4 linked regions of the Alligator mississippiensis genome follow. The protein of the gene in region 2 purifies or fractionates together with the protein of the main gene of each other region. This does not show direct contact. Links are inferred from orthologs where the notes say so. Each region holds a gene or a part of one and is shown on either strand. Other genes may lie near its edges.

Region 1 (6,879 bases), on a different chromosome or scaffold from region 2:
CAGCCATTTTCACAAACTAAATTAAATACCACCTTGGTGTCTGACTACCAAAATATGAGTTACAAATAACTATAGTGATTTTTTTCTGCAAGATAGAAACATTAACAGGAACATGGATTACACAGCTGTTTCATTTGTTTCAGTGTCTGAACAGTGGCATTGAAAGAACCAGTCTAATGCATCTCTCCACTACAGCAATCTCAACATTGTGGTTGTACCAGTACTCCAGGGAGACAAAGAGCACCTATGCCATAGAGACTAGAATTGCTGCTGCAATCAGGTGCGTTGGGGCATTTACAAAGCAAAATATACTCCAATGTAGAATAATAGTAGAACTAGTCTACCTTCTGTATCTGTATCATCTGTCATTTTCCCTCTATACTGGGAATAAACCAAAATATAACACCTAATATAGAGAGTTAGGTAAAATCCTAAAATAGGCTAACTGGGAGTTTGGGTGGGGTGAGCAATTCCCATAACCTTTTATGGAAGATCATTAGAAAACTAAGCCTGTCCTAGAACTCAAGTCTGTACAATGGATTCACACCATTTTATTCCTACTGAACAGCAAACTTTTACTAGCCATTACTGTACATTGCTGTTTTTATCATGTTTTCAACCATAACATCAAACAATGCTATCAAACCTGTGCATCATTAGAGCTGGTAATGGCAATTCATATCAGCTTCTCAAAATGATCAAAGCAGTGGAATTGAAGTGTCATGGAAACTTAAGCACTATTTCAGAAAACCTTTGGCTTCAGAGATGCATACACGTAACTTGCTAACATACGGGATATGGCATTAGTATTTAAGGTTCAGAAGTTTCAGATTACTTCCTTAGGAGCATAAAATGCCATGTTGTCTATTTAAGACTAGACTCTGCCACCTATACCCCTTGCAAAAGTAGCAACATCTGAATGTTGAAATAGAAACTTTTCAGGGCAGGTAACAGTCATCTTACATAGTTTTAAAATGCCAACATACTAAGCACTATGTAAATAATAATCTCTACAAAGCACTGTCATGTTGATAATTCTAAAGGTGACAGTTTTTTTGGATGAAGGCATGGAATTTGTTTTGGTATCAAGTATTACTTCACCAGTGCCCTTTTCATTTAATGGTTCATAACCGTGGCACAGAAACACCCCATGACTACAGATGATCAAGGCTGACACATTTCGTTGACATTACCAAGAGAATAGAGATGGTAGCAATGGTGAAATCTGTAGCATAAAAAGAGAACCCAAGTATGGTTACGACCTTATCATGCAATGTTTAAAATGAGCCAAGATACAGTTTACACCGCTGCAACCACAGTTGGACCAAGATAGTGACAAATCATGGTCATGTATTATAAGTGCAGATAGAACCATAACATATAAATGCGCAAACATATCAGTCTCTTCAGACCTAAAGGAAAAATAAAGGGTTTCTTTTTCTTTTTTTGGATACATCAAGCATGCAGAACCCAAATGGGTGTGTGTGATCACAAAGCAGAGCCCGATCAAAAGCATATCCAATTTGGGAAGGGGCTGAAACTGGAAGAGAAGACCGTAGAAGTATCTGCGTATTTCAAGAACCCATTAATGCTGCTCAAATAAAATACTCCACATCTCTGCCAGGGAAATCTCAGCACAGCAACTGTTTTTCACCTAGCTAATCTAATTAGGATAACAGAGATGCTGCTTACAGGCATTTGTGGAAGTGTTAGATCAGTGGTTTTCAACCTGGCCCTCAACGCAGGTGTTGTCTGCACTATGGCAGTCAGATAAAACTGCCCTGAATGCAGAGCTGTGGCAAACGTGCACTCCTGCTGCATTAAGGCTCTCTTATCAGCCTCCATCTAGCTCCTGCCTTCTTGCTTGGGCCCTTCCCAGTCTGGGTCCCCCACCACACACTTCCTGAAACAGGGTACATGGGAGCATTCAACCTGCTGCCTCCGTTTCCAGGATGGCGGCCACAGCAGCAGCACCTGGCTGAGAAGTACTGGGGTAAACCGAAGCAGCAACCAGGGATGCTGCCATATTCAGATGAGTGGTGAAGGTTTATCCCACTTGAGTTGCTGTGTTAGATATTATTTGCACCCTTTCACTGCAGAAGCAAGTGCTCGCTTCCTTTTCACACAGACTCCCATGTCAGGTGGGCTCTGCCATGCTTTGCAACAGCTACAGCCACAGACCTGATGCCAAAGATGGCTAGGTGGCTGGAAGCATTTTCAGAGCTACAGCCATAGCGTGGAGAATACCAGCGCGCTGTTCACAAGAGCACCATCGCCACAGGCATCGCCCGGGGCACGTGAACTCGGTGGAGCAGAGGTCATCTCCCACAGGAAGTCACCCATGCCCAGTGCGTGAGCTCGTGCTCGTTTCTGTTCTGCTTGCGGCTGCAGGCTGCTCTTTGCAAAAACAGGAGCTGAAGAGGTGGGGAAAGAAAGGAGGAAGGCAGCTGGGACAGGCCTGGAGGAGGGTTAAAGCAAGATGGGGGAGATGACATGGGAAGTGGGGAAGAAGGAACAAGTCCTGTGTTCTGGGAGCGCCCTGCTTGGGAGGGGAAGCCCTGCGGCAGAGCTGCTGGACAGAGCCGGAGGGGCAAAAAAGGAATAAAAAAAATCAAACTTGAAGCGACTTCCTGCTCCGGGCCTTGGGGCCTCCCAGCGCCCGCGGGGCCCGAGGCTGGGCCGTGCCCGCAGCGGGGACCGGGCCACGGAGACAAAAGGAGGAATCAACAAGTCCCCCCGGGGCGGGGCGGGGCGGGGCGGGGGCAGCCCTGCGGCGGGCCCGGGCGGCGAAGGGCCGGGCCCCGCTAGGCCGCGGCGGTGAAGCCGGGCGCGCGGTACCTGGACGGGTTCCTGCAGCACCGTCATCCTGCCCCCGCGGCGCCCGGCGCGGCCTCGGCCCCGGCTTCGCCTCAGCCTCGGCGCGTGTCCCGGCGGCGGCTGGGCCCGGCCCGGCCCCTGCTCATTTAAACTCCCAGCGACCGTTACCGGGGCAGGCCGCCGGGAGGAGGGAGGGAGGCCGGGCGCCGAGTCCGCCCGAGCGGCGGCGGGAAGAGCCGAAGGGGAGCGGAAATGCCCGAGCGGGGGCGGAAGCAGCCGAGGCCCGAGCCCGAGGGGGGGGCCCGCACAGGGGGGGCCCCGAGCAGCCGCGGAAATAGCCGAGTGCTGGCCGAGCTCGCGGAGCTGCCCGAGCGCCGCCTCCGCCACCGCCCTCTCCTTGCGCCGGAGTCTCGGCGGCGGCGCCCCCTGGCGGTCGGCCTGAGCCACTGCGGGCCGCGGGCAGCGCCCGCCCTGCTTGGTGCAGCGACTGCGGGCCGAGGCCGGGTCCAGCGCGGAGGGCGGCGGCTGGTCTCTGCTCTTTCGGACCCGAGGCTGGCCTGGGCAGGCTGAAGCACACCCCCGGGAAACGCCGGTTCTCCCTTTTCACTCTTGTTTGACTAGGGAAAGAGCACCGGGCAGTTTGCCTCTTGCGAGGATCCAAGAAGCGCCACCACGGCGGATTCCTGTGCTGAATCTCCAGCTTTATCTTATGACTCCTGTTTGCACACCTTACCTAACATCAGTGCTAACTAACCGCAATTCATGTGGTGCCTTAACCTCTGGTGCAGTTCCCTCCGGAGTTAACGGCTGCGTGGTACAGCATCTACATGTGCGCCTAGGACCGCAGCAGTTTGGGCTGTGCCAGGGGTGCTTGGCCCTGGGCTGGCAGCAGGCTCGGGGGTCAACCCCGGGCATGAGGCTGAGGGGGCACGGTGACCACCCGCAGGCGGTGGGGGTGGGGATGTGGTGGCAGCAGGCGGGGACCACCTACAGGTGGCCGTGGTGATGGCGGCAGCAAGGGCATGCCAAGCAGGGACCACCTGCAGGTGGCCACAGCGGTTTTGGTGGTGACGCAGGGGAGGGTGGTGAGCAGGGACCTCCAGTAGCCACCATCCGCGCTGTCGGCAGACACGAGCAGGGACTGCCTGCTGCTGCCGGCAACCGTGTCAACAGCGAGGCAGTGACTACCTGCAGAAGCTGGTGGCGGCTTTGGTGGCAACCAATCTCAGGGGGAGGGGGGGGCACGTGTCCCCCTGTGCCCTCCCTACACATCGCCTCTGACCCCAGGTTCCAGGTCATGGTGTCAGGTGGCCGAGGGGCTGGCTGGGGCACAAGAGTGCCCGAAGGGCAGAGCTGCATGGCTAGGCAGCAGGCAGCAGCCTGGCCCCTGCTACCTGGGCTTACTGGGCACGATTTATGTCCAAGTCAGGGTTTACACACATCCTGGACAATACTATCTTAGAATGGCAAAAAATAATTTGCTGCAGTCTAATAGCATCACACATGTAGACTGTGATGCTTTACACCACAGCAAATTAGTCTGCTGCACAGTTAAGTGCACATGTAGATCGATCTCAAGGTACTCCAGGGTGCTATGTCACCCTGCTTGAGAATCAATGGCTTAGGGGAATGCAGGAAACTTCCATCCCCTTGATTTCAGTGGCAGTTCAGTGCCTAACTACCTTATAAAACCTGCCCCCCACTTCGTCTACTCAGGGAAATGGACCAGCACACGGTCCAGACAGCAGGCAGGATAGATTTACACCTTACAGACTACAGGTTTCCCTCACTTTATGCTGTACATACCTTCCTGGAAAAGGCCGCATAACTCACATTCACATAAAGGGAATCCGCTTTACAACGTAACAAATAGGGATACGTTCCAAGACCTTGACTGGACTGACCCCAGACCCCATTTCCACCAATTTTACAAGACGATTTTGGTACTCACCAACAGCAGACAGTACACACAAGCACTGGGCACTGTCATAATGGGGACGGCAACTACAAAAACACAGGTTGCAGACAACAAGCAAGGAGTACAGATCCACACAGGAGACCACATTTTGGTGTGTGTCACTCCCACAATGCCCTGTACAAAGCAACTGACTCTGGGTTTCCACCACACCAATTGCATAAGAGTGAATTGACCTCGCATATAATGAATTTTTGGTATAAAAAGGGTCATTGCATAAGAGCGAATTCGCACATACAGAACTCGCATAAAGCGACGGAAACCTGTAGTTGGGCACTCCAAAGTAACTCCCTGTGGGGACAGTTCTACCATGGTAGGGGGAGTTACTCTGGACTAGATCTTCACGTCTGTCTGGTACAGAAGAGTTTCCTGATGCAAAGAAACTTGGGAGGAGGGTGAGAGAACTCTGCAGGGTCCCTGGCTTTTTGTTGAGTTGTCTTATAACGGCTGAAGCATGGAGGAGTCTGGGTCCTGGCATAGCAGGAATGTCTCTGTATTTGTACTTCTTTGTACATAAAAAGAACTGTATTAAGGGTATCACTGAGGCTGCAAAGAGAAGTACTGAGCAATTGGAAAATCGCAGGGTGCTGACTGCCCAGCTGGAAAATAGGTCCAACTTGGAATTTCTCTCCTCTGTAATTGTCTCCATTAGCATCACTGCTTCTGTGTGGCTATGGTTTCTCAGCCTATCAATTACACATTAATACATGAATACAGTGGAATGCTTGCCACTTACCAGCAAACACATTCAGATCAAATCCACATCCAGATCAGATCAAATCCATATAAAATCTGCCCATATCAATAGTGATACTGTTATTAAATTTCTGGGTCCTTGTATTGTCAGCTTCAAGCATTCAAAACGAATGAGAGAGGCTAAAAAAATCATCAGCTATTAAGAATAATAAATGATGGGGTTAATTTGTATTCACTATCTAAGGTTAAAGCATTTAAAATTCTAATTCTCGGGGGGGTTGTAACCCTGAGGACTAGAAACTCACCTGAGTCAATGAGAGCTAAGAGTCTCAGATAATAACCTGATTCTGGCAGTGACGTCTTTGAAGAACACCACATCTTCCATGACTTATGAAAAAGGTTATGAGGATACCCAACACCAAATGCTCATTCTCCAAAGTTTTGGGATCCTTAAGTCCAGAACCTCTGAATAGGGCTCCATGTATTAAAATTGGTTTTCTGTTGTACATCCAGTTTGAGCCCAAGGTAACATTATAGAATCACTGCTCCTGCTGCAGGGAAAGACAGCTGTCCATATCATTAGTGAGATTGAGCCTATTTTGGTACAGCCCATTCCATCCTAAAGATTATGTAACATGGGCAAAGCCTGGACGCCTACTCATCAACCAGGTTTAGAGGGACTTGCTATATTGGTAGGATAATGAGGTGATTTAGAGCAGTGGTTCTCAACCTTTCCCACCTACATAAGGTAAAAAAAATCCTGGTCCCACCAGTTGATGGCAGGCCGGGGGGTGGGGGGCGGCAATTGAAGCGTGCAAAAGCAAAAGAGTTCACCGCCGCGACCCAAGTCCCACCTAGAGGACCTTCGCATCCAACCAGTTGAGAAATCCTGTAAAATTTGGATAGACTCAAGGCCTGGTTCTGAAGGGTGCTAGAGCTGCCCTAGTCTTGAAAGAGCTGGTATTTATGAGGGGTGGAAATGCAGGTAGGAGAAGAAAGGATGTGGACAAGTTGGAGAGAGTCCAGCGGAAGGCAACAAAATGGTTCGGGGGCTGGGGCACATAACTTATGAGGAGAGGCTGGGGGAACTGGGTTTATTTGGTTTAGAGAAGAGAAGACTGAGGGGGGATTTAATAGCAGCCTTCAGCTACTTGAAGGATGGTTCCAAAGAGGATGGAGCTAGACTGTTCTCAGTGCTGGCAGGTGACAAAACAAGGAGCAATGGTCTCAAGCTGCAGCAAGGAAAGTTTAGGTTGGATATTAGAAAGAACTTTCTCACTCAAAGGGTGGTGAAGCACTGGAATGGGTTACTGAGAGAGGTGGGGAATTCTCCATCCTTGGAGGTTTTTAAGGCCCAGCTTGACAAAGCCCTGGCTGGAATGATCTAGTTG
Region 2 (6,908 bases):
GCGAGGACCCATATGACACAGCATGGAGCCAGCCCAGCCTGGTGGCACACTGGAGTCCCAGAAACTGTGTGAAGTCTGGTGCTATCAGGCTGGGCCAGCTCTGTGCCTCTACGTGGTGATCCTGGCACTCCAGCTGGGAGCAGCATGTGGAAGCACAGAGCCATCCAAAGTCCCATGAGCCCCATGTAGTGAGGCCATCACCATCAGTCCACCTCCCTTCCTATTCTCACCTGAATTTCCACCTAATCAGATGGAGGGCACACTGGGGAATAGCCACAGGGTCATCAGGGCAGAAGCCTCTGCTAGGCAGGAGCATGGCATAGAAGAGTGGGGCAAGTCAGGTTGGGGCTGGTCACAACACGACCAGAGTCTGAGCTGCTTGGTGCTGCACCCAGTGCCTCCTGCCACTAGCATCTTGTCAGGTAGTAACTGTTTAAGTTTCAAGAAGCCCTGTGGGCCAGAAGTGTCCCAGCAGGCTGGATCTAGCTTGTGGGCCATGTTTTGTCCACCCCCGTTCTAGTGAATGCATGCACTTGTCATTTAAAGGTTTGGCATATGTTCTGGTCCTGTTAGCAAGCTTGTAGGAACATCTATGACTAGACTCCTCTGTCAGCTAGTCCTTGTAGTTCTTTACAAGGGATCAGGGTAGAAGCAGAGTGCTGGGAGATGTGCTAGAAAAAACAAAACCAACCAAACCAACTAGTCAGCAGCCATACCAACCTCAAGAACTCTCAGGTATTTGTAGATATCCTTCACATATTCACTGCAGAGATTTGGGTCAGAACCATCATCTGCATCTACATCAAGCAACACATCAGAAAAGGCTTGACACAGTATTTCCTCCACTGGCATGCATCCAGATGTTTCCATTGGGGTTGGGGATAGAGGCTCCAACTACAGAGAAAGGAGTTAAATATATTTAATTAAGGCCATGTTTTTCAGCCATTTGGTGATCAGGCCTTTAAAAATAGAGTTTGACAGATAGTGTACAAACAGATGGAGTTAAGGGGACACCAATATTCAGAGCAGACCAGTTACTAGATATCCCAGTATTTTGCGATATGTAGAACAGCTGTTTGGTCCTTACTAACAGTGACAAGCTACTATTTCCAGAACAGCTGTAGACACAAGATGGTCATCAGTATTTCCTGCCACCTGGCCCTTTATTTTTCCTTGGGAGAAATATTTCTACACTGATTTAGGAGTTAGTTACACAGAACTAGGGCAGCATATCATTGTGCATCTGGGATCTTACAATAGGGCAAACAAGCAGCAATTAAACTAGAGTAAAACAAGCAGGCTATTCCCAAGCTAGTAGTACTAGCTCAGTGAAGCACTCTCTGGCAGAGTCCCCACCTCCCCCCCATAGTTTCCCTGGTAGGAGGTACATGACAGAAGCCAGGATCTGTGCTCCAAGTTTATGGGCAACTTTTAGTTAGTCACCGAACTGACAGCAGCATTTGGTGTATGCATTCCTACACTGAAACAGTTGCTGAAGGAAGAGGAGATCTACATTACAACACTTTCAACTCAGTAAAGCCTCAATTATCTGAGGTCAGACATTTCATCTGGGCTCCCCTATGGACTAGGGTCATGAAATGAGAGAGTGCTTGTTTGCAGTAGCTTAGGGCTTCAGCTTGCCCAATACTTTGGGAGGGGAACATTAATAGTTGTTTAGGTGGCCTGGCCCTAGGACAGCGATTCTCAATTAGGGTGCTACAGCACCCTGGGAACCTTGAGATCCTTTCTGGGGTACCATGCAAAGTCAGTACTATTAGGTGTACTGTGTGAATCCTCATTGCAAACGCCAGGACTTCAAATAGGAATCCATCATGAAACAAAAAACTTTGGATTTTAGGGGAAGGGGGGGTTCCAAGTTCTCTGCAACACAAGTATTGCTGTATTAGTTTTTCTATTTTCACTTTGTTTTTAACTTGGACTCTAGGCACCCCATGGAAGTGTCAGCTCTGAAAAGGTTGGACCCAATGGGGGGGGGGGGGGGGGAGGAAGAAGAGAGGGGCCTACAGAGGAAGAAGCAAGACAGAAAAAAAAGCCTTAGACTCAGCTCCTTGCCCTGGGAAAAAAAGCTCCCCCCCAATTTCCTTCTTTAAGGAAAGGAGACCTTAGCCTGCCCATGCCCTATTTCACCTGCAGGCAGGGTGCTACATTACTTCAGAACACAAGAGGAAAGACTAGAGACGGAGGTGCTCAGGTCCCACGCTAATGGCCACGAGTACTACTTTGGAAGAGGCCACCATTACACTGGCATTATGTGCCACTGAATTCACTTTGCTCCTTCCCTAGGGGAAGGGGAACAGAGGTGGAAGGTGGTGGGAGATGCAGACCGAGCAGGTCACAGCAGCCCCCCTTGTTTCCTTGATACCATACCTGCCCTGGTGCACAGACAGGTACCTTGGCAGGCTCTTGGGCCTGCTCCTCTTCCTTCAGAGGCTCAGCAGTGCCCTCCACAGCTTTTGCAGGTTTCCTGGCAGCAGGCTTGTCCTCAGCCGTGGGCTTAGCTTCCTACCCAGCAGGAGAGGGAAGTAGTTAGCCGAGGAGCCCCCTACACAGCCTGAAGCAAACCTGGCACCCCACCCCCATCTGCAGAGCAGACCCCCCCCACAAGGCTGGCTGGGCCAGGGATGCACGAGGTCCAGCATTCCCCCCTCCAAAATTACCTTCTTGAGGGCAGCTTTAGGCTGCGGCTCCTCGCACACGCGGTTGCCGATGTCCCCCAAGGCCCTGCGGGGCCGCAGGCCGGGCTTGGCCGCGGCGCCCCCCAGCTTGGCGCCAGCCACTGTAGTCGCCGCCCCACTGGCCTTGGGCTTGTTCTCGGCGCTGACTCTCATGTTGTTCTGCGGAGAGACGAGGCGCCCTGAGCAGCCGCAAGCCACGCGGGACGCCCCCGGGGAAGGGACCCCGACCCCAGCCCGCCGCCCCGCTACCGACCCTAGTGACCCGCAGCGCCATGTCCCCGCACGCCGCCGCCGCCAACACCAGCCCCTGCTGCGGCCGCAGGTTTAAAACTCGCACTGGGCTCCGCTCATTGGTTGCTCCCCTCCCTCCTCATTGGCAGCTCGACGTTCCACCCCCAATGCGTTGCCGCAGAAACCGAGCGCTGATTCTTCCAGAAGTTCGAAAATGGGGCGGGGCAAGGGAGTGGGGCGGGCTGTTGGTACCACGGGACGCGGGGGCGGGGAGGGAGGGGTGGCCTGGGCCTGGTGCTTGGCGGGGTGTGGCTGACTGTGCCCAGCAGGGCCGTGTTCCTGTAGTCTGGTGCGTCCCGTGGCCGTCTGAGCCGGTGTCCGCTCGTCTGCTTGGGCCTGATGGCCCTATAAAGCTGCCAGTGTTTGCTCCTGCCAGGGGTTGCATAGCTACCGAGATGGCTAGCAGGTCACCTGCTAGGTCGAGCTGAGCAAGACGATTTTGTCAAAACATCTGGATGATTGTGGGGGGAGGATGTGCAGAAAGACAGGATGCTAAGTAAGGCATGTAGGTACAGGTGTGTTTATGCAGATCAGGTTTTAGGGAAATATCAGTTTCTCACTATTGGATGACATAGTCTGTAAACAGCCAGTAGCAATAGTACAAATACTGAATAAGAAAGAGACAAAAGGTACAAAGAACAAAGGGTTCTTTGGGAGCAAAGGGTTGGATTGCTAGGCCTGAGCTTTTCAACTGGTGTGCCACATGAATTTGGGAATAATGAGAAGAAAATTCTGTAGCCTCCTAGTGCTAACGAACCAGCTGCATCAACAAGCCAGATCAACCAACTATTCACAGAAGACTGGTGCATGTGTTGACTGGGGGGGCGGGGAGGAGAGAGAACCGGCCAAGCAGAAGGAAATTCATCTGCACGTGTTGGCTGTAGGGGATGCGCAGTTCGAGAGCCTCTGAACAGCTGTGCCACGGAGTTTTGCCGTGGCAACGAGCTCATGAGTATGGGGACAGAATGCCTTAACAGGTGTGCCACAGAAAAAAAATGTTAATGTGTGTCTTGGGCTGGAAAAGGTTGGGAAACGCTATGGTAGCCAGTGCCTCTGAATAGTCCAACAAGACTCTGGACTATCTGAACATCATAGGAGTAGGATAACTAGTACATTTCATAGTATAAAATTGTGTGTTATCTGTTAAACCTACATTAAATGGAGTGGAAACTCCCATCTCTCGAGCATTCTTTCTCTCAACAACCCACTGGTTCCCTGATCCAAGGTTTTGGGGTAACACAGGTTGACTATTAGAAAATTACACTGCAGCTCAGTCTGTACTTCCCAAGAGAGCATGAAATACCAAAGTGGGAGCATGTAGTAGGTGGTTTTTAAAAGCATTGCTTCCACATTAACTGCTGCCTGGATCTTTTAGTTGATTAGCAGCTTCCACAGGCTCCAGTTCTTTCATAATATCACACAGATGATGATTGGTGAGAACATTTTGGTAACTCACCCTTCTAAGCTCTGACCAAGCTTGGAAATTGGCAGGCTCTAGCTTGTACAAGAGGAATGATGTGGGAAATCAGTTGTATTTTGTTTTTATTTCCAGCTGCATCCATGGGATATCAAACCATGTTGGGACCCAAGGACATTCATAAACATTTGTTTTTAATTTGTTAGGAACTTCTGAGCCAGTTTCAGTCTCTGTGAGTGAAGGGAGGACACCAAGATGACTGCTGTCTGAAAGCCAAAGTCTGTGACTTATTTGTGGAGATGCATAGGATAATTCCAGGTGGTCAGAGCAACAGCAAGAGCTCAGATACTGGTGGGAGGATCCAGGGATGGCTGAAAAATGAAGAAGGAGGGATCTGGGTTACATGGAAAGTGAACATGGGAGGAAAAGAGGTGAGAGCAGAATTTCATAGATTTCATAGACATTCGGGCTGGGAAGGACCCTGGAGGATCACTGAGTCCAGCCCCCTGTCCCAGGGGCAGGTAGTCAGTAGGGATCATAGGATCCCAGCAAGATAAGCATCCAAATGTGTCTTGAAGGCATTCAAAGTAGGTGCTTGAACCGCCTCTGGCAGTAGAGAAGTAAAGAAGTTCTTCCTTATGTCCAGCCTGCATTGGTCACAGCGAGTTTGTGACCATTCGATCTTGTCATCCCTTGGGGCACTCTGGCAAACAGACTTTCCCCCAGATCCTGATGAGCACCCCTGATAGATTTATAGGCGGCCACAGATCACCCCTGAACCTGCGCTTTTCCAGGCTGAAGAGCCCCATGGCTCAGCCTCTCATCATAAGGTCTGTTTTCGTGACCTCTGATCATGTGCATGGCTCTCCTCTGCACTCCCTCAAGCTTCTCCACATCCTTTTTAAGTTGTGAAGCCCAAAACTGGATGGAGTATTCCAGCTGTGGCCTTACCAAGGCCGAGTACAATGGGAGAATGATGTCCCGGGGTTTGCTTAAGAAACATCTATGGATGCAAGCCAGTGTTTTGCTTGCTTTACTAGCCGCAGCATCACATTGAAGGCTCATGTTTATCTTGTGGTCAATGATGACCCCCAAGTCCCTTTCATCTGTAGTGCTAACCAGCGTAGCACTGCTGAGCCTATAAGCATGCTGCAGGTTTTTCCTCCTAAGGTGGAGAACCTTGCATTTTTCAGTATTAAACACCATCAGGTTCTCATCTGTCCATTTCATGAGCCTGTCAAGATCTGCCTGGATCACCCTCCTGTCCTCAGGTGTGGATGCTTTATCCCAGTTTCTTTGCCATGGTCATAGCTGAGGGGTCAAGACATGGCTTTTGAGAGAAGCAGGATCATGAGCCACCTGGTGAGCCCAAACCACTTATCCACCCATGCCTATCTTGCACACAAGCCCCAGTTCAGTGTGCAAGAAAGGGGACAGATTCCATGCTGATGTGCAGTTCCATAACACGTGCCACTGCATCAGTGTCTTGCACTCTGCAGTGTTTGGTGTTGTTAAATGTTTGTGCCCCTATGCTTTTCATTGCACATCTTTTGACTGTGGAAGTTGATTGCAGCTGGATTGCCCAGATGTTTTGCCTTTGTTTGATCACAGATGGGGGTCTGGAGTGACAGTGCTATGCCAACCCTGAACTGTTTATCAGTACACCTGTAACAACCTGGGGGAGTACCAACTTTTACAGGGTGATAGCAGTACACTTTGGGCCTGTTGTTGCCCCTTTGGATGTTTTAGTACTCAAAGATGGAGCAAAGCTTACGCAGGTGTTGTTGTTCTCCTTTTATAAATGTTCTGAGTCTGCAGCTTTGTTTTATCATACTGTATCCCCATCATTCAGTGATCATAGTCTTGGTCTGAATTTTTTGCAGGGTAGGAGGATCAGCCATAAAAGATGGCTTTAGCTAAGTTCATGCAGTGCTGACTGTTTTTTTTCCTGTTCCTGGCCAGAAAAAGCCAGCTCCTAAATACTCACATCTGTACTATTGCTGTCTCTTGGTCACTGCTGCCACATATAAAGTATCTGTCAATTGCAGTTGCAGATTACCACGCTTCAGAGCACAAGGAGGCACCAGGGAAAAGAAGTTGGTCCTAGATCATTTCTGTTCACCATTCTCAGAGAAGAGACAAATTGTTTCACAATGCCCCATGGAAGTGAGTAGAGGGTGATGCAATGAGCTGTGGTGCTACAAACCATAGGTTATATCCCTGCAAAGCTTTGCATCTTTTTTGATTTTGTACAGTGCCATTGTGTGTGTAGGCTGTTACTGCATCTGTATGGGAATTGACTGCCGTTTCTAAGTGCAAGGTCATGCTGTTAAGTTAGGCTAATGTGATATATTAAATAAGGCGTTAACAGAAGACTTCTTATCAATCAGTTTTCAATGGAAAAATGGCTTTCAAGACAGTGAACCTTTTCACTAATGTCTGCTTTACATAGGAGAGTTCAACTTTCCATTAAAAATAACTTCATCCAAGGACAGTAAAGTTTT
Region 3 (7,777 bases), on a different chromosome or scaffold from region 2:
CCCAGAGAGAGAGGCAAGCTGAGCCGGGGAGCACTGGGGGCCCTAGAGGAAGGGGAGAAGCAGAGAGGTTTCAGAGACGGGGGGGAGGACCCAGGTGTCCGGGCTCCCAGCTCTACCCCATCGCACCCCACTCCCCTCCCAGAGTTGGGACAGAACCCAGGCATCCAGGCTCTCAGCCCCTCCAGGTCTACCCCAGCAGGTGCCACTCCTCCCCCCCCACCCCACCAAGAACCCAGGTGCCTGGGCTTCCAGCCCCTGGTGCTCCAATCTGCCAGCCCCCTCTCGCATGCCAGAGAACTCAGGCATCCAGTCCCACTGCTCTACCCCGCTAGATGCTGCTCCTCTCCCAAAGAACCCAGGTGTCCGGGCTTCCATCCCCCCCCCCAGTTCCCCCACAAGCCCCAACTCCCTTCCCCAGTTGCCTCCACTCAACTCTCAAAGACTCCAGGCACGTGCGCTCCCAGCTCCCTCCCACTCTCTTCCCAGAGAACCCAGGCGCCCAGGCTCCCAGGCAGAGTGAAAGGGGCTGGGGGCAGGTAGGGACCCAGGCATGGCCCCCCACCACTCACCTGTCCTGGAGGGAGCTATCCCTGGAGCTCCCCGACAACTGGAACACCTCCAGGGCCAGGCTGCCCGTCCCACCTTCATCGTCCTCGTCCTCCTCCCAGTCGCTGGAGAAGCTGCCGTAGGCAGGGAGCAGCGGGGAGCGGGGCGGGGTGGTCGGGGGGCCCTGGCGCCAGTGGGCGAGACTGCACAGTGCCAGGCAGACCCCCCACAGCAAGCTCATCAGCCCCTGTGGGTGGGCAGGGAGAAGGGGGGAGATTAAGTGGGGCAGGAGGCAAAGAGCACAGGAGGCAAGAAGCAGGGGGGCACTGACCTGGAGCAGCACAGCGCCCCACTCCAGCCCAGCTTCAGCCAGCAGAGCGAGGCGGCGCCAGCGGCCTGTGCAGCGCATGAGGTCAGACTCCAGAAGGGTCTCCGCTGAAGGGCGGAGCCGGGGGTCAGGCTCCAGCATGGCAGCCAACAGGGCCTGCAGCTCCAGTGACAGGCCTGGGTGGGGGTGGGGGGGAAGAGGAGATGATAAGGAAGACCTCTGCGGTGTCCCGGCCCCAGGCACCCTTGGACCAGGGGAGGACCCAGGCATCCGGGCTCCCAGCACCCCCTGCTTCTCCCCACCAGGCCACACTACCCACCTGGACCTCCAACTCACCATACTCCCCTCTGCCCCCCACAAACACAGGCATCCCCAGCTCCCAGACTTACCCACTCCAACCCTCCCCAGACCCCAGCCCTTACCCAGAGAACCCCAGGATCCTGGCTTCCAGCTCCCCTTGCTCCCCGTCCCCCCGGAGCTGGGGTGGAGCCCCGGCATCCAGGCCCTTCCCCAGACGTACCAGCTGTGAACTCAGGGGGCAAGTATCCCTGCCGCAGCTGCTGCCAGGCCTCACCCCCTGTGGGCAGCTCCAGGTTGCAGGCGACCTCCAGGATGGTCATGCCCAGGCTGGCGGTAGGGGGCAAGAGTCACGAGTGGGGGAGGCAAGATGGGCAACTGACCCCTCCCACCCCAGGCAACTGCCCCGCCCAGGTGGCTGCAGCCCACAACACCCAATGGGAGCGTGCCTGGTCAGTCAGAAGAGGGTGGGGTGGGAGCGGGGGCAGGGGGAAGTCGGGCACCGGGACGCCGGGGCCCTAACCTGAAGACGTCGGCGGCAGGGCTGTAATCCCCACACAGCAGCTCGGGCGCCATGTAGCGAGGGTCGCCCTCCTGCGCTTCGCCCGGCTCGGCCTGGCCCAGCTCGAGGGCCAGGCCAAAGTCGCCCAGCTTGCACACGCCGCGGGCCGTGAGGAAGACGTTGGCCGGCTTGACGTCCAAGTGGACCAGGCCACAGACACGCACGTGCTGCAGCGCCCGCAGCAGGTCCCAGAGCCAGGCGCGGACGCGGCGCTCAGGCGGGGGCTGCCCGCGGGCCTCGCAGTGCTGCAGCAGGCTGCCCGGGCACAGCTCCGTCTGCAGGTAGAGCTGGCCCCGCTCCTCCCAGGCCCGCGCCAGGCCCAGGCAGTTGGGGTGGCGCCCCACGCGCCCGTGCCGCCGCGCCTCCGCCAGTTTGCGGTGCCGGTCGGCCGCCCCCCGGAAGGGCTCCACCGACCGCTTCACCGCGTACAAGCGCCCGTCCGCTCGGCTCCGCACCTGGGGGAAAGCGAGGGGCAGCCTGGGCACCCGGACCCCTGCGCTCCTGCCCCGGCCAGCCCACACGTCCCGCCACGCCCCAGCGCTCCTCCCCCCGCCCCCCTACCTTGTAGACCTCGCCAAAGGAGCCGCGGCCTAGGTGGCCCAGCACCTGGAAGCACTGGCGCAAGAAAGACTCCCGCTTGGCGGGGTCGTACAGCAGGTCCGCGGGGGGCGCGGCCTGCCCGGGGGCCCCCCGGCACCACACGAGGCGGGCCCGCGGCTGGCTCCAGGGCTGGGGCTGGCAGCCGGGGAAGACGCGGCTCACGGTCGGGGGCACTTTGTGGCGCGGCCGGGACGGGAGGGAGTAGCCCGACGCCCGCTGGGGCCTCTTGGCTGAGAAGCTGCCCTCGGCCTCGCGGAAGAAGGCCGGCACGGGCAGGGGCGTGCGGCTCAGCCGGGGCTCGGGGCCCGCCTCGTCCGGGGGCACCGGCATGGCGTCAGCGCTGGCCGGGGCAAGAAAGAGGAGACATGGTTAGCAACATGGTTAGCGCCCCGCGCCCGCACCTGCTCCCCTCCGCACGAGCAGGCGCATGGCCTACTCCGGGCGCCCACGTGACTGGGGAGCCTGGGCCCCTGCACTAGGGGTGAGGGGCAGGCTGGGGCTGCACTCCTTGGCATGAGCAGGAGGGCGCTGGCGGGAGAGGAAGAGAGGCAGCCCCGTGGCATGAGGGGCTGGGGGGGCAGGGGCGGGGCGGGGCGGGGCGGGGCTCACCTCCAGGGCCCGGATGTGGCGGGTCCCCCGCGCGGGAGGGCAGCACGCCCCCCTCCCCCTCACCCGTTCCCGCGCGCGGGCTCCCCCGTCCTTTCCCGCCTTGCCTCCAACTGCCGCCCCGCCCGCGCCCCCTCAGCCAATCCGAGCCCAGGCACCGCCCACATCGCCCCACCTGGCTGCCTCCCCCGGCACCGCCCCCCGACTGCGCGCCTCAGGATTAGCCAATCAGGGGGCGCCTCGTGCCCCGCCCCGCTCGCCCGGGCGGCTGTCAATCAGAGCCAACTCCCCGCTTTAAAGGGATGGAAGGGGGCCGCGAGGGTTCCCAGCATCCTCTGGGGCAACCAAAGCGTGGCCAAACCAAAGCGCCCCCCCCCCCGCCTCGGAAATGCCCCTCTACCCTGCCAAATCCCCTCAGACATGCCCCCCAAATCCCCTCAGACACATCCCTTTACCCCCAAATCCCCTCAGAAATGCCGCCCAATGAAGTCAGCCCCCCAGGGATGCCCCCTTCACCCCGCCAAAACGAGGGGTGAGGCCCCCGAAGGCAGCCCTTCTACTCCCTAGGGAGGGGCCAGGGCCCCACAACCCTTGCTTTTGGGGTGCCCCCTTCACCCTTTATATAAGGGGCAGCCGTGAGTTACCCCCAGCCCCTCCACCGCCCCCCCCAAGGGTGCCCTGAACTGAGTTCACCCCCGATGCATCACCCCCAGAGGGGGGCACGAGGGACACTGCCCATCGCCGAGAGGTGCAGACAGCGCTGGACGTACAGGGCCTGGCGCGGCCCCAATCTCGGTCTCAGGGTAATTCAGTGGGGTCCAGATGCGAGGGGCTGCCCATCTTAGCCCGGGGGGGCGGGGCGGGGTCTGGGCAGTGGGAGGTGGACCGCGAAGTGTGAAGGAGAGCCTCCATAGTGTATGATGTGCACATGTGCGCGCGCACACACACACACACACACACACACACACACACAGAACCCAGGTGTCTGGAAACAACCCGCCCTTCCCACCCACCCACACACACACACAACCCTGTTGTTGGATGGACACACATGCACACAGGTGTCCAGGACACCCCCCCCCCAATATGCACAACCCAAGCGTGTAGAACACCAAACACGCTTGCCTCAGTCTCCTCCAGCAGGGGGCAGCAGTGCTCAACCATCCCCCCCCCCCCAACCCAGCAGTCTGGGCACATGACACACACACAACACCCAAGTGTCAGACACACAGACCCTAGGTGTCCAAGGAACACACACACACACACACACACACAGAATGCAAGTGTCTAGGATATACATACAGGTGTCTGGGACGAACACATACACACACACAACCTAGTTGCTAGACACACACACAAATATGCATACACAACCAAGGTGTGGACGCACATACACCCCATGTCTGGGACACGCACAAATGCACACACACACACATACATCCCAGGTGTCTCAGATATACACACATACAGAACCCAATTGTTGGACACCCCCCCCCTCCGATGTCCGGGACACACACATACACAGATACCAGGTGTCTTCCACCCCCACCCCCCCCATAACTCAAGTGCACACAAATACACATTCTCACACATACAACCTAGGTATCCAGGGGGGACACGCATATTCACACACAGCACCCAGGTGTCCGGCACCCCCCCCCCCAGGCATCTGACACACACACACGCACAACCCAGGTGTCTGACACAAACACCCCCCCTGCAAGAGTCTGATATATGCACGCACAACCCAGGTGTCTGATGCACACCCCCCCCCCGAGTGTCTGATGCGCACCCCACCATGTGTCTAATATGTACACACACATTCCCCCCTCTCAGGTGTCTGACGTCTGCACCCCCCCAGCGGTCTGATGCGCACACACATTCTCACCCACACAGCCTAGGTGTCCAGGACATACACACAGAACCCAGGTGTCACACACACATTTTCACACACAACTCAGATGCCCAGGACACCCCCCTACCCCGCACATCTGGAAACAAATCTTTCAAGACACAAGCTCTTTGAGGGGCTTTTTATTGCCGACACACTCACCTCCTGCTGTCAGCAGAGAGGGGGCAGATACAGGTACCCGCAACACACTTCCTACTCCCTTGTGGACACCCCTTTTTCCCCAGAGGGCGGAGGGGGGGGTGACAAGCCTAGGATGACAAACCCCCCAAAATTGCAGGTTTTTAACATGTAAGAATCCATTAAAAAATCCCAACGAGACGATAAGTTATAGCGGGATAATTTCTTTCCCTCGTAGCACCACACGTAGCACCAGATGTGGCAAGGTGGGTCCCCCTGCGGCAAACAACTGGCACCCAGGACTCAACACTTCCCAGCTGGGCAGCGGGCTGAGCGGAGAGAGAGCAGGGATCAGCGCTGGATAGGAGGTAAGGTTACATACACACACACACACACACGCACAGAGGATGTAGGTATCCAGAACACACAGAAACACACACACAACCTAGGTATCTAGGACACACAAAAATATGCACAGTCACACACAGGAGCTGGGACACGCACACAGGACCCAGGCATCCAAGATATACATGCACATACACACACGCAAGACCTAGGTGTCCAGGACACATACACATACCCTTAGGACCCAGGCATCTGGAACACACCCTCCCTGGTATTCAGGATAAATACGTGTATGTATGCTTACACACACACACACATACACACACACACTCAAAACCCAGGCATCTGGGATATGTGGATCCAAAGTGGACCCAGGTATCTGGGAAACACCTACACGTGCACACACACGCGCACGCACACACACAGGCATCTGGGACACACAGAGGCCAGTGTGATAGAGTCTAGGGGGGTCCATACAGCACCCAGCACCCCCCAATCTTAGTCTGGGGTCCGACAGGATGGGGGCCCTGCTCCTCACCTCGGTAGCCATTGCCCAGGAAGCCGTTTAGGCCATACTTGAACTCCTTCCCACCTATGAGAGGGAAAGCTCCCGTCACCCCCCCGTCTTGCCCTGGGGAAGTGGGGAGGGGAGAATCGTCCGTCTCCTGTGGCAGTAGCGGGCCCTAGCCACACCCACCAAGGGACACAGCACCCCCGCCTACCATATGCCCCTGGGGCGAGGGCAGCAGGCACCGGGCCATACCCACCAAGGGCCGGCCCCACGGAGATGGGTCCGTAGGCACCTGAAAGGGCAAGGGAGAGGGTTGCTGTGGGGCAGAAGCACAGGATGGGGGGACATTTTATGGGGCAAAAGCAAAGGTTGAGGGCCAGTAGCACAGGCTGGAGGGCAGTGTGGGGCAGAAGCATAGGTGGGGGGGCATTTTATGGGGCACAAGCACAGGCTGGAGGGCAGTGTGAAGCAGAAGCACAGGCTGGAAGGCACTATGGGGCAGGAGGCCAGGTCGATCTGGCTGCTCCAGGGGTGGGCGCAGCCCCACCCTCCGCCACCGGGGGGCTTCATAGCTCTGCCCAGCCCTGTTGGCACTTTGCCCACTCTGGTTTCTCTTTCCTCCATCTCTATGGTTTCCCCATTGCCAAGTCCTCCTGGCCCTGCTCCCATCTCCCAGCACCCTGGGGGCACCCAGGGCAGGTCTTGCCTGGAGCCATTCCATTGGCCTGGAGATCTCCCCCATTCAGGTATCCCAGTCCGTTGCCATTGGCTGCAGTGGGGAGAGAGAAGGGATCAGTGGGGATATGGGACCCAGGCATCCCGGGGCAGGGTGGGGGGAATCAGGAGCCACTGATGTTCAAGTGCCTGCCCATCCCACAGGGGGCAGGAGACCCAGGCATCCGGGTGGCCCCTCCCCAGCCCTTACCCTCCAACCCGGCAGGCTGTGCCCTGAACGTTGCCTGTCCTGAACCACCTGATGGGGACACAAGGGGGAGGGGTGGGGGGCAGCGGATAGAACCCAAGTGTCCGGGCTCCCCCGCTCCCTGGGGGCTCCACCCACTGGGCATGGAACCTGGGCATCTGGGCGGAGATGGGGACCCAGGTGGCCAAGGAGCCTTGTCCCCCGAGAGGGAACCCAGGCATCCGGGTGGCCCAGGGGCAGGGGCAGGGGTGGGGGTGATGACAGCAAGGGATACCCCCAAGGGACCCAGGTGTCCAGGCCTTCTCCCTGTGGTCTGGGGCATCCAGGCAAGCCACACCCACTGGGAAGGGGGGGAAGGGAGGGAAGGGGGTAGGGACCTGAGTATCCAGGCAGGCCTTGTCTACCGGGGATAGGAACCAAGGCATCCAGAGCATGTGGGGGCTCAGCGAATGCAGCCTCCCGTGCCCCAAAACATCCTTCTGTACCTACCCCCACATCTCCCAGTGCCCCCCCACGTACCCAGCTTGCCCGCATTGAAGTCCGCACCCAGCCCCACCGGCACCACCATGTAGGGTCCTTGCCCCAGACCTGGGGGTGGGGGGGAAGGAAAGGGGGCGGGGTCATAATCAGGGAAGCCCTGCCCCTGCTTCAGGCCCGCCCCCCGCCCCCCCAGGGACCCAGGAGTCCAGGCTGAGGGACTCACCATATTTAGCAGCTGACGGCTCTGCACCAGGGCCTCCAACCCGGCCCCCAAAAGGCCCCGGGGCACCTGCAAGTGGGGGGCGGTGGGGTAGTTAATAGGAGGGCAGTTCCCAATCTGTTGCCCCCCACCCCACAGCCCCGTGGCCCGTCTCACTGCCGACCCACAGCCCCCAGGACACCTGGATTCCACCTCACTCCTGCCCCACAGCGCCCCCCCCCCCCAAGCCCTTAACCTTACCATTGCTATATCCCGGCTGCGGCCCTGGCCCTGGGTAGCCGTTGCCACCTGCTCCACCTCCTCCGTAGCCTGGAGGAAACATCCAGGGGGA
Region 4 (7,410 bases), about 52 Mb from region 2:
TTGCCACAGTCTATAAAGCCCTATTGAGACATGTAGGCGTGATGTGTAAACCGGATTAGCAGTATGAAAGCAAGACACACAATGAGCCTGAATTGTTTTACTTCCTTTTCATTTCTCACGCCTATATCTCTAATAAATTTGTTGCTCCAGCAGTGGGTCAAAGGGATCGTGTCGCTCGGCTTTTTCTTTGTTTTTTTTTTTTTTTTTTTTGCTCCCCCCCTGCCAGACCCCATGGCAGAGATCAGGAAAATGAATGGTCTGCGCCTCCTGCCAAACGCGAGAGCCGAGGTGTATGGTTACAGAGCCCGGGTGCGGTCCAGAAGGGCTAAAAAGCTCTCCAGGGGGACTGTCCCCCCTCGGTGCACACTGCGGGGCTGAGGGCAGGCTGCCAGGGAAAGGATCCGGTTTGCAGGCGATGCTGGGGTGTGCGAGAGGATGACAAGGGCTGCTCCCGCTCGGATCCCCCGGCGGCTGCAGAGCCGGAGGAGGCTGCCCGGAGCGGGGGCGGCTGCAACGCCCTGCGCTGCCTGGCTGATGCTGGAGATCGCTCATTTGCTTCTTTGTGGCGCGCGGAGCAGTTCTCCATTAAAGGCGATCAGGGGTAATTAGCCGCATTATTTTGACAAGTTGGCTCGAGCAGCCTCCCTCGCCTGTTAGTCCCGAGGAGGGAGGGCGAGGGCGAGAGCGAGGGCAAGAGCCGAGCCGGGCTCCCTCTCCCCAGCCCTGAGCCCCCCGCAGCACCTGCCCAGACACACGGGCGAGATGCTCTGCCGGGAGGAGGACCGGGCGGGGGGTGGGGAGCAAGAACAGGGTTTATTTGGCGATTGCATTCAAAGGGCTGCAACAGCGGGGCAGGACATCCCCCCTCCCCCCCACAGGCCTTATTGGGCGGCACAGCTGGATGCCAAAAGGAGATCGGGGCGGGTGTGGGGGGCAAAACCACCCCCGGGCACAAAAATGACAGGCGAGTGAGCGCCCTCCAGGTCAGTTTTGTTCCTGCCGGGCAAACAAACAATCTGGAGGGCAGGTGTTTTCTTTCAATGTCCTTCCTTTATTCATGTAACCGGATGCTACAGGCAGAGCAGTGATGGGGGGTGGGGGGGAAGCCCCCTAACACGCTGCAAGAGTCGCCGTGAAGCCATCAGCAACCTCCCAGCCCCTACCCCTCGGGGCTGAACTCCTCTGCCGGGCATCTGTGCCGGGCGGACAAAGCCTTGGCTGGGGATGATCCAGCTGGGGATGGTCCTGCTCCGAGCAGGGGGTTGGACTAGATGTGACCTCTCGATGTCCCTTGCAAGGCTCCTGCTCCGGGATGCCAGGGGGGCATATAGGAAGGCGGGTCCTTGGTGCCAGGCACCCGGAGGGGCCAACTGGGCGGGCCCTGCCCACCCGGGGGGAGCGAGCCGGGCCGGGGGAAGGCAGAGCAGTGCCGGCGGGAGGTGCCACCTCGGAAGGCCTCCTGCAGGCGAGGAGCCGGGCGTGTTATCACCACTCCGATCTGTGGGATCCTTGAAGTTTAGGGTAAAGAAAGGAGAGGGGGAGAGCCCCGGGTGCGGAGCCGCGGTGACATGCGCAGGGCATGCATATTAAAGCCAACAATGCTTACAAATGTAAATAAGGGCAGATTGATTAGGAACAACATTATCGCTGGGAATGCAGCACTCGCATGCATCAGCAATGAGGCAAATTGGGGGCAGCCACCGCTCCTGACCACCCAAGTCGAGACAGACTTTTACTCTGACACTTCTTCCTCCTCCTCCTCCATTTTTTTTTAAAGCGCGGCAGAAACAAGGCCAATTAGATCCTCGCAGTAATTCATCTCTGGGGTATGAAAAAAAAACAGACCACAGGGGGAGAGGGAGAGATTAAGACACCGCTTGTTAAATCTGAGCCTCCCGATTACACTGGGGGCACCAACCGGCAGGATTTATAGGCGCCGGGACAGGGCGGGAAGGCCTACCGAGGCGAAGCTGCCAGGCAGGAGGCAGAGCCCGCGGGCTGGCGCCTCGGCCCCCGCGCAGGGGGGACAGGGTGGTACAGGGAGCACCAGGAAGCAGAGGGGAGATCATTGCCCCCCCACCCGCCGTGCTGGGACCCGCATGCAAGCCCCCTGCACGCCCGGTTGCTGCATGCATCCGCCCCCTGCAGAGCGCGCGACTCCGCAGAGGCCCCGCGGCGCGGGAGCCGCGCGCCCAGCCCGCTCCCTGGAGCAGGTTCTACCCCCCCACTCGGCCCGACCCGACCCCGCCACCACAGCTGTGCAGACTGAATGGGGACGGCTCCCCCCGCCTCGCCATTGGCCCGGAGCGCCCAGCCCGGAGCACCATTGGCGGGCGCGAGCCGCAGCGCCCGCCCCCTGGAATGTACTGCGGCTCGTCTGGCACGTCTCCCGGCCGCCAGAGGCCAACCGAGCAGCTGCCCCTCCCGGGCACCGTGTGGGCGCCTAGCGCGGGTTCGGGTCGTACCATCTCCACCCCCCTTTCAGAATCCGAACCCTCAGGGCCCGGCCGAACCCGCCGCGCACTTGAGGAGTCCGGCCCAGGCGCCCGTGTGTCACGTGACGCCGCTGGGCCCCGCCCCCCGCGCGTTCTTTTTTTTTTTCAATGAACACACACCGCGCGCCCCTTAAAGGGACACGGCCCCGAGTGGGACCTGCCCCCCTCATCCCAGTGGTACAGGCTGGGGGGTGGGGTGCAGAAGCACGAGGGGGAGTCCCTGAAATGCATGCAGATGGGGGGGGCAATGCGGTGCAAAAGCCACCTCCGGGGTGACAGCGCCTCCTGCAACCTGTACAGAGGCACAGCCCCCCCTTGCACCCCTAAAAGCGTTTCCGATGGGGAGCATCTCCCTACACGGGCATCTCCTTCCCCCCTCCCCAAAATCAATGCATTGATTTTTAAGTATCTATTTAAAAGCAACTCATTGATTTTTGGGGTGCCAACAAATAAAAATAGCCCCGAAACAAGCTGGCGATTCACGCGGAGCGTGAAAAGCCTCTGGGGACTGAACTTGACATTGAAAAAAAATTGTGGCGGGGGGGGGGGGGGCGAGGTATTAAGCGGACTTTGCTGCAGAGTGAGGCTCGGGACCCCCACGCTCAGTTAAACCGCGCGGGCTCCTTGCCCGGCTTTACATCCCTTCTTCTGGGTGTTAAATTTCCATGGTGTGTTGTTATCATCATTACCATCATCATCATTATTATTATTAATTATTATTTGCCCCCACCCTCACTGGTCCTTTCTTGCAAGGATCTGTCTCCTCTTTAGTTAAAAGGAGAAAAGAGAGAGGGAGGGAGGGAGAGAGAGAGAGAGAGGAAAAAAAAAAATTGGCACTTTCCCTCGCAGTATCCACCACCCTGTCATTATTTGTGCAAGCCTGGGAATTCAGCTCGGACCTCCCAGTATTTGTTGCAGCTTGAGGCCAAGGTGCCTCTAAAAGGATTTTCTTTTAAAGGCTTTAGAAATCGTTCCGTGGGTTTCTTTTTCTTCTTTTTTTTTAAAAAAAAAGCAAAATATATTTTTGAAGGTGGATGTGCAGTAAAGGCTTGCGCGCGTGTTTGTCTAAAAGCATCTCGTAAAAAAAAAAAGAAAAAAAAAGAAAAAGAAGAAACCGTTGTTGAAAAGAAAATGAAGAAGAAAAGGTGGGGAGGGGGTGCGGGGGGAGAGGCATTCCTTAATGGAAGTATTGCATGCAAAGAAGGCTGGATCTCTTTAAGGCTCCCCCTGAAGCTGGAGATGCACACACAAGGGTTGCCTGCCTGGGTGGTCTCTCTACTTTGGTGAGCTGTTGCTAAGCAGCTAATAATAGTCATGTTTGCTGAGTAATTTCTGCCCTCCCTGAGCCAATCGCGTCCCAGAAAGCCCAGCCATCTGACAGCCCCAGGGGCGGGATTTGAGGGCTTTTTTTTTTTTCTCCTTCTTTCCCCTCTCTCTCCTCTCCCCCCCCTTCACCCCTCCTCCTCTTTATCCAAATGGAGAGAGTTCTTTTTTTCTTCTTCATCTCATCTATTGAATCAAGGAGCTGCTGCTTGCTGCTGCACACACACGGAGGGAGAGAGAGACACACACACACGTCCAGAGGGAGAGGGGCACCGCGGAGCCGCCCGCCCTGGGACTCAGAGACAGCTCTGCCCTGAGCCAGACTGGGACCGCGCGGCCAGAGGCAGCGGCGGCAGCGGCAGCACCTCCACGGGGAGCACGGAGGAGCCCCAGCCCGGCTTGGCTTTGCTTTTCCACGGAGCAAGACCGAGGCGGCGGGGAGGGAGGGAGGGAGGGAGGGAGGGGAAAGGGGCAGGAGAGGGGGGGAGCCCGGTTTCTTTGCAGCTGCGAGAAGCCAAGTGGAAGCGGGAGGATTAAACCCCCAGATCCCGGGCCGGGGGGGAAGCCGCCGCACTCACCCGCGCCCCGCTCGCACACACGCTGGATGCGGGAAGCGGAGCCCCCCGGATCCTCGCGAAATGTTGCAATGGAAGGCGCAGGGTCTGCCTCGCCGGGAGCCGCCGCCGCCGCCGCAGCCCGCGCGGTGTGAAGAGGTGGCTTGTCAGCAGCAGCAGCAGCAGCCGGAGAGAAGCGCCGCCAGCTCAGCCAGCCCCCGGTGCCCCCGCATCGCCCCAGCGCGGCCGCCGCGCGCCGCGGGGAAGCCCAGGCGAGCCAGCCCGCGGGTCGCCCAAACAACAACAGCCGCCGCAGCAGCAGCCCCGTCCCGGCGGCGGCAACATGGCCTCGGCTGGTAACATTTCGGAGCCGGAGAGCAGCGGCGGCGGGGCTGGCGGTGGCTGTAGGGACCCCGAGGGGCCGGAGGGGAGCGGCAGCAGAAGGCGGAGGAGGACCGGGGGGACCAGACGCGCTGCGGCGCCCGAGCTGGACTGTCTGCAGCGGCCGAGCTACTGCGATGCAGCTTTCGCCTTGGAGCAGATCTCAAAGGTGCATGAGCCTCTGGCTGTGCGTGCGTGTGCGCGCGCCTCTGGGTGTCTGTGTGTGCGTGTCTTTCCAGCGATCTTTTTTTTTTTTTTAAAGGGGGGTGTCTATTTTTTTTTTTTTTTTTTTGCATGGAAGGAGGAGATGGGAATGAAAGAGCCACCAATAAAATGCTGGGAGAAAGAGGGGGACGTCTGTGAGTCCGTGCGGAAGAGCCTGCCCTCCTCGCCGTCCTCCTTGCCCCCGGGGGGGTGGGGTGCTCCCCGGCTGCTCTCGTGCAACGCTGCCCGGGACCCTCTGCCGCCTGCCCTCCTCTTTTGTGGGTCGCCCTCTTCTCGGTTCGGGTGCCCGGCTGCTCCCCATCCCTGCGGAGCGCTGTGCCGCTGCCTGGCAGCCCCGGCTTCCGACGGGAAATGGGGATCGGGAAAAGATCGAGGGTTTTTTTTCCGGGGGGGGGGCAAAGAAAAGACGGGGGTTTCCTTCGGTCACGTTTTCCAGTCCGCGGGGGCATCGCGGCTCTCGGAAGGGAGCAGGCTTGGAGGAGAGGAAGTTTTGTCCTGTTGAAACCCCCGGCGCTTGGAGGAGAAGTGAAAGTTGTAAACAAATTGCCACCTTAAATCTGCCTTGCAGGTCAGGTCCCCCCATCCCCTTTCTCCCCCCTTTCTATGATCCCGGATCCTCGCTTTTATTGTTAATATCGAAAGGCTCCAAACGCAGGGACTGACTCTGAAACAACAACCCCCTCGTCCCCAAATAGTCCCGATCGCTCCCTTTTGCAAGGCAAAAAGGTTCCTAGCAAACCCCAGCGAGGAGGCATCGCCTTTCTTCGGAGATCGGTTCATTTCAGGCAGCAGATTTCTTTAATTTTATTTTGGGGGGGAAGGCTTTGCAAGAAGTGGAAAGGCAAAAAAAAAAAAAAAAATCCATGTGGCTGCCCTCTTCCGTTCACAAATATTGTCGTAACTTACAGATGGCTGCTCTGCTTCACCATTCCGATCACACAGCGTCTCCAAACTCTATGGAAATGAATGACTATTAAGCTTATGATCACGCAGCATTGCTCACCACGTGGGTCGGTCATTTACTACACACACAGTCGGGGCCGGGAGCTGGGGAGGGGGGAATCGGCAGCAAATTGGTACAATGCAGCTTTCCCCCCACCCCCTTTACCGATGTAACAAGAACAGGAAAGGGGGATTTGATTTGATTTTTTTTTTCTTGGCATGTTGAGATTCATCTGCTTTGATTCTTGCTTCCCCTGTGCTGGCAATCTTGCCAGCATGAATGAATTTTTGATTACAGAGCTGCACTGATTTGTATTGCTGAACTGATGGCAGTGACTTGCTTGCAGCAAGGCTGGGATGGGCTGGATGGGAGGGCAGGCAGAGGCTGTCTCATTTATCCGGATCTCCTGCAGTGATGTCACCCAAAACCTGGGTATTGATTTATGAATAGGAGACTCAGCCGTCTACATGCACGTCTTAGTCCACACCACTGTGTCCGGTGCCTGGAGGGCTGCTCCACAGAGACATGGGCTGCAGTCCAAGGTGTCTTGTCCAGGGTTCAGGTTGTCCTCTTCATGTCCCCGCTCATGGATGCTCTGAGGCTCCTGGCACTCCTGCGTGAAGATGTGATGATGCTTGGAGGCTGCTAAGAAGGAGGAAAAAAGCATGCCCACGCTGTGCGTGTGGGTGTCTATCTGTCTGTCCCAGGCTCTCAATGGCTGCCCTTTTCTTGCCTTGCAGGGGAAGGCGACTGGAAGAAAAGCACCGCTGTGGCTAAGAGCGAAGTTTCAAAGACTATTATTCAAACTGGGCTGTTACATTCAAAAAAACTGCGGCAAGTTTTTGGTTGTCGGCCTCCTCATCTTTGGGGCTTTCGCTGTAGGATTAAGGGCAGCTAATCTCGAGACCAACGTGGAGGAGCTCTGGGTGGAAGGTAAGACTTGGTCCCTGCTCTTGGGAGCCCTTTCTCTTTCCTCTGCCCTCCTTAGGGCACCTCAGGGGATCCAGAAGAGATCCTTGCTGGGATCTTCTGGAGCTCACTACTCCCCCCTCCCCCCCGGCCCCCCATGAAGGTCAAGGCAGCAATTTGTGGCCAGCCTGTCACCCAGGCCACAAGTGTTGGCTAGAGCAGCGTTTCTCAACCTGTGGGTCAAGACCCAAAAGCGGGTCGCAACAATATATGAAAGGGTTGCAAACACACTTGAAAAATGCATCAAAAATAGGTTCTTCTTTAAAAAAAAGTGGGAAACCGTGGCTTTTTCCCTGGAAGGCTGGCAGAGTTGCAGCCTGCAAAGGGGCTGCTTGGGGACACACTGTGAGGCTGGGACCTGGGGGCTCGGGTCGCCATCATAGAGGACAGTCCAGTTGTCCTCTTGGTATAAAACTGGACACCTTTATGTCCTCAGAAGAGAAAAATAGAGGACATAAAGGTGCTGGGTTTCATATCAATAGAGGACAGAGCAGCAGAAAACGGGGATGCCCTCTATGGT

What was found.
Region 1: the proteins of CCNB1 (region 2) and CDC27 purify together in Homo sapiens (affinity purification with western blotting; 6 studies listed by BioGRID, with this or other methods). This does not show direct contact. The link is inferred for Alligator mississippiensis from reciprocal best matches to the Homo sapiens genes CCNB1 and CDC27.
Region 3: the proteins of CCNB1 (region 2) and PKMYT1 purify together in Homo sapiens (affinity purification with mass spectrometry; 5 studies listed by BioGRID and IntAct, with this or other methods). This does not show direct contact. The link is inferred for Alligator mississippiensis from reciprocal best matches to the Homo sapiens genes CCNB1 and PKMYT1.
Region 4: the proteins of CCNB1 (region 2) and PTCH1 purify together in Homo sapiens (affinity purification with western blotting; 3 studies listed by BioGRID and IntAct, with this or other methods). This does not show direct contact. The link is inferred for Alligator mississippiensis from reciprocal best matches to the Homo sapiens genes CCNB1 and PTCH1.

The regions. Positions count from the first base shown.
Region 1 is NC_081827.1:158,871,640-158,878,518, reverse strand, and holds the start of CDC27 (cell division cycle protein 27 homolog), read right to left. Parts: upstream 3,020-6,879; 5' UTR 2,866-3,019; coding exon 2,839-2,865; intron 1-2,838. UniProt on the Homo sapiens protein: Component of the anaphase promoting complex/cyclosome (APC/C), a cell cycle-regulated E3 ubiquitin ligase that controls progression through mitosis and the G1 phase of the cell cycle.
Region 2 is NC_081826.1:258,265,848-258,272,755, forward strand, and holds the start of CCNB1 (G2/mitotic-specific cyclin-B1), read right to left. Parts: upstream 3,059-6,908; 5' UTR 2,971-3,058; coding exon 2,950-2,970; intron 2,856-2,949; coding exon 2,679-2,855; intron 2,524-2,678; coding exon 2,389-2,523; intron 895-2,388; coding exon 721-894; intron 1-720. UniProt on the Homo sapiens protein: Essential for the control of the cell cycle at the G2/M (mitosis) transition.
Region 3 is NC_081830.1:724,553-732,329, reverse strand, and holds the start of PKMYT1 (membrane-associated tyrosine- and threonine-specific cdc2-inhibitory kinase), read right to left. Parts: upstream 3,048-7,777; 5' UTR 2,943-3,047; intron 2,908-2,942; exon of another isoform or gene 2,674-2,907; 5' UTR 2,664-2,673; coding exon 2,295-2,663; intron 2,189-2,294; coding exon 1,695-2,188; intron 1,502-1,694; coding exon 1,395-1,501; intron 1,051-1,394; coding exon 878-1,050; intron 794-877; coding exon 570-793; intron 43-569; coding exon 1-42. Other genes in the region: GREP1 (glycine-rich extracellular protein 1), read right to left, coding at 5,272-5,297, 5,852-5,944, 6,036-6,116, 6,531-6,593, 6,750-6,797, 7,266-7,334, 7,450-7,515, 7,687-7,755. UniProt on the Homo sapiens protein: Acts as a negative regulator of entry into mitosis (G2 to M transition) by phosphorylation of the CDK1 kinase specifically when CDK1 is complexed to cyclins. Mediates phosphorylation of CDK1 predominantly on 'Thr-14'. Also involved in Golgi fragmentation.
Region 4 is NC_081826.1:206,077,288-206,084,697, reverse strand, and holds the start of PTCH1 (protein patched homolog 1), read left to right. Parts: upstream 1-4,343; 5' UTR 4,344-4,715; coding exon 4,716-4,922; intron 4,923-6,661; coding exon 6,662-6,854; intron 6,855-7,410.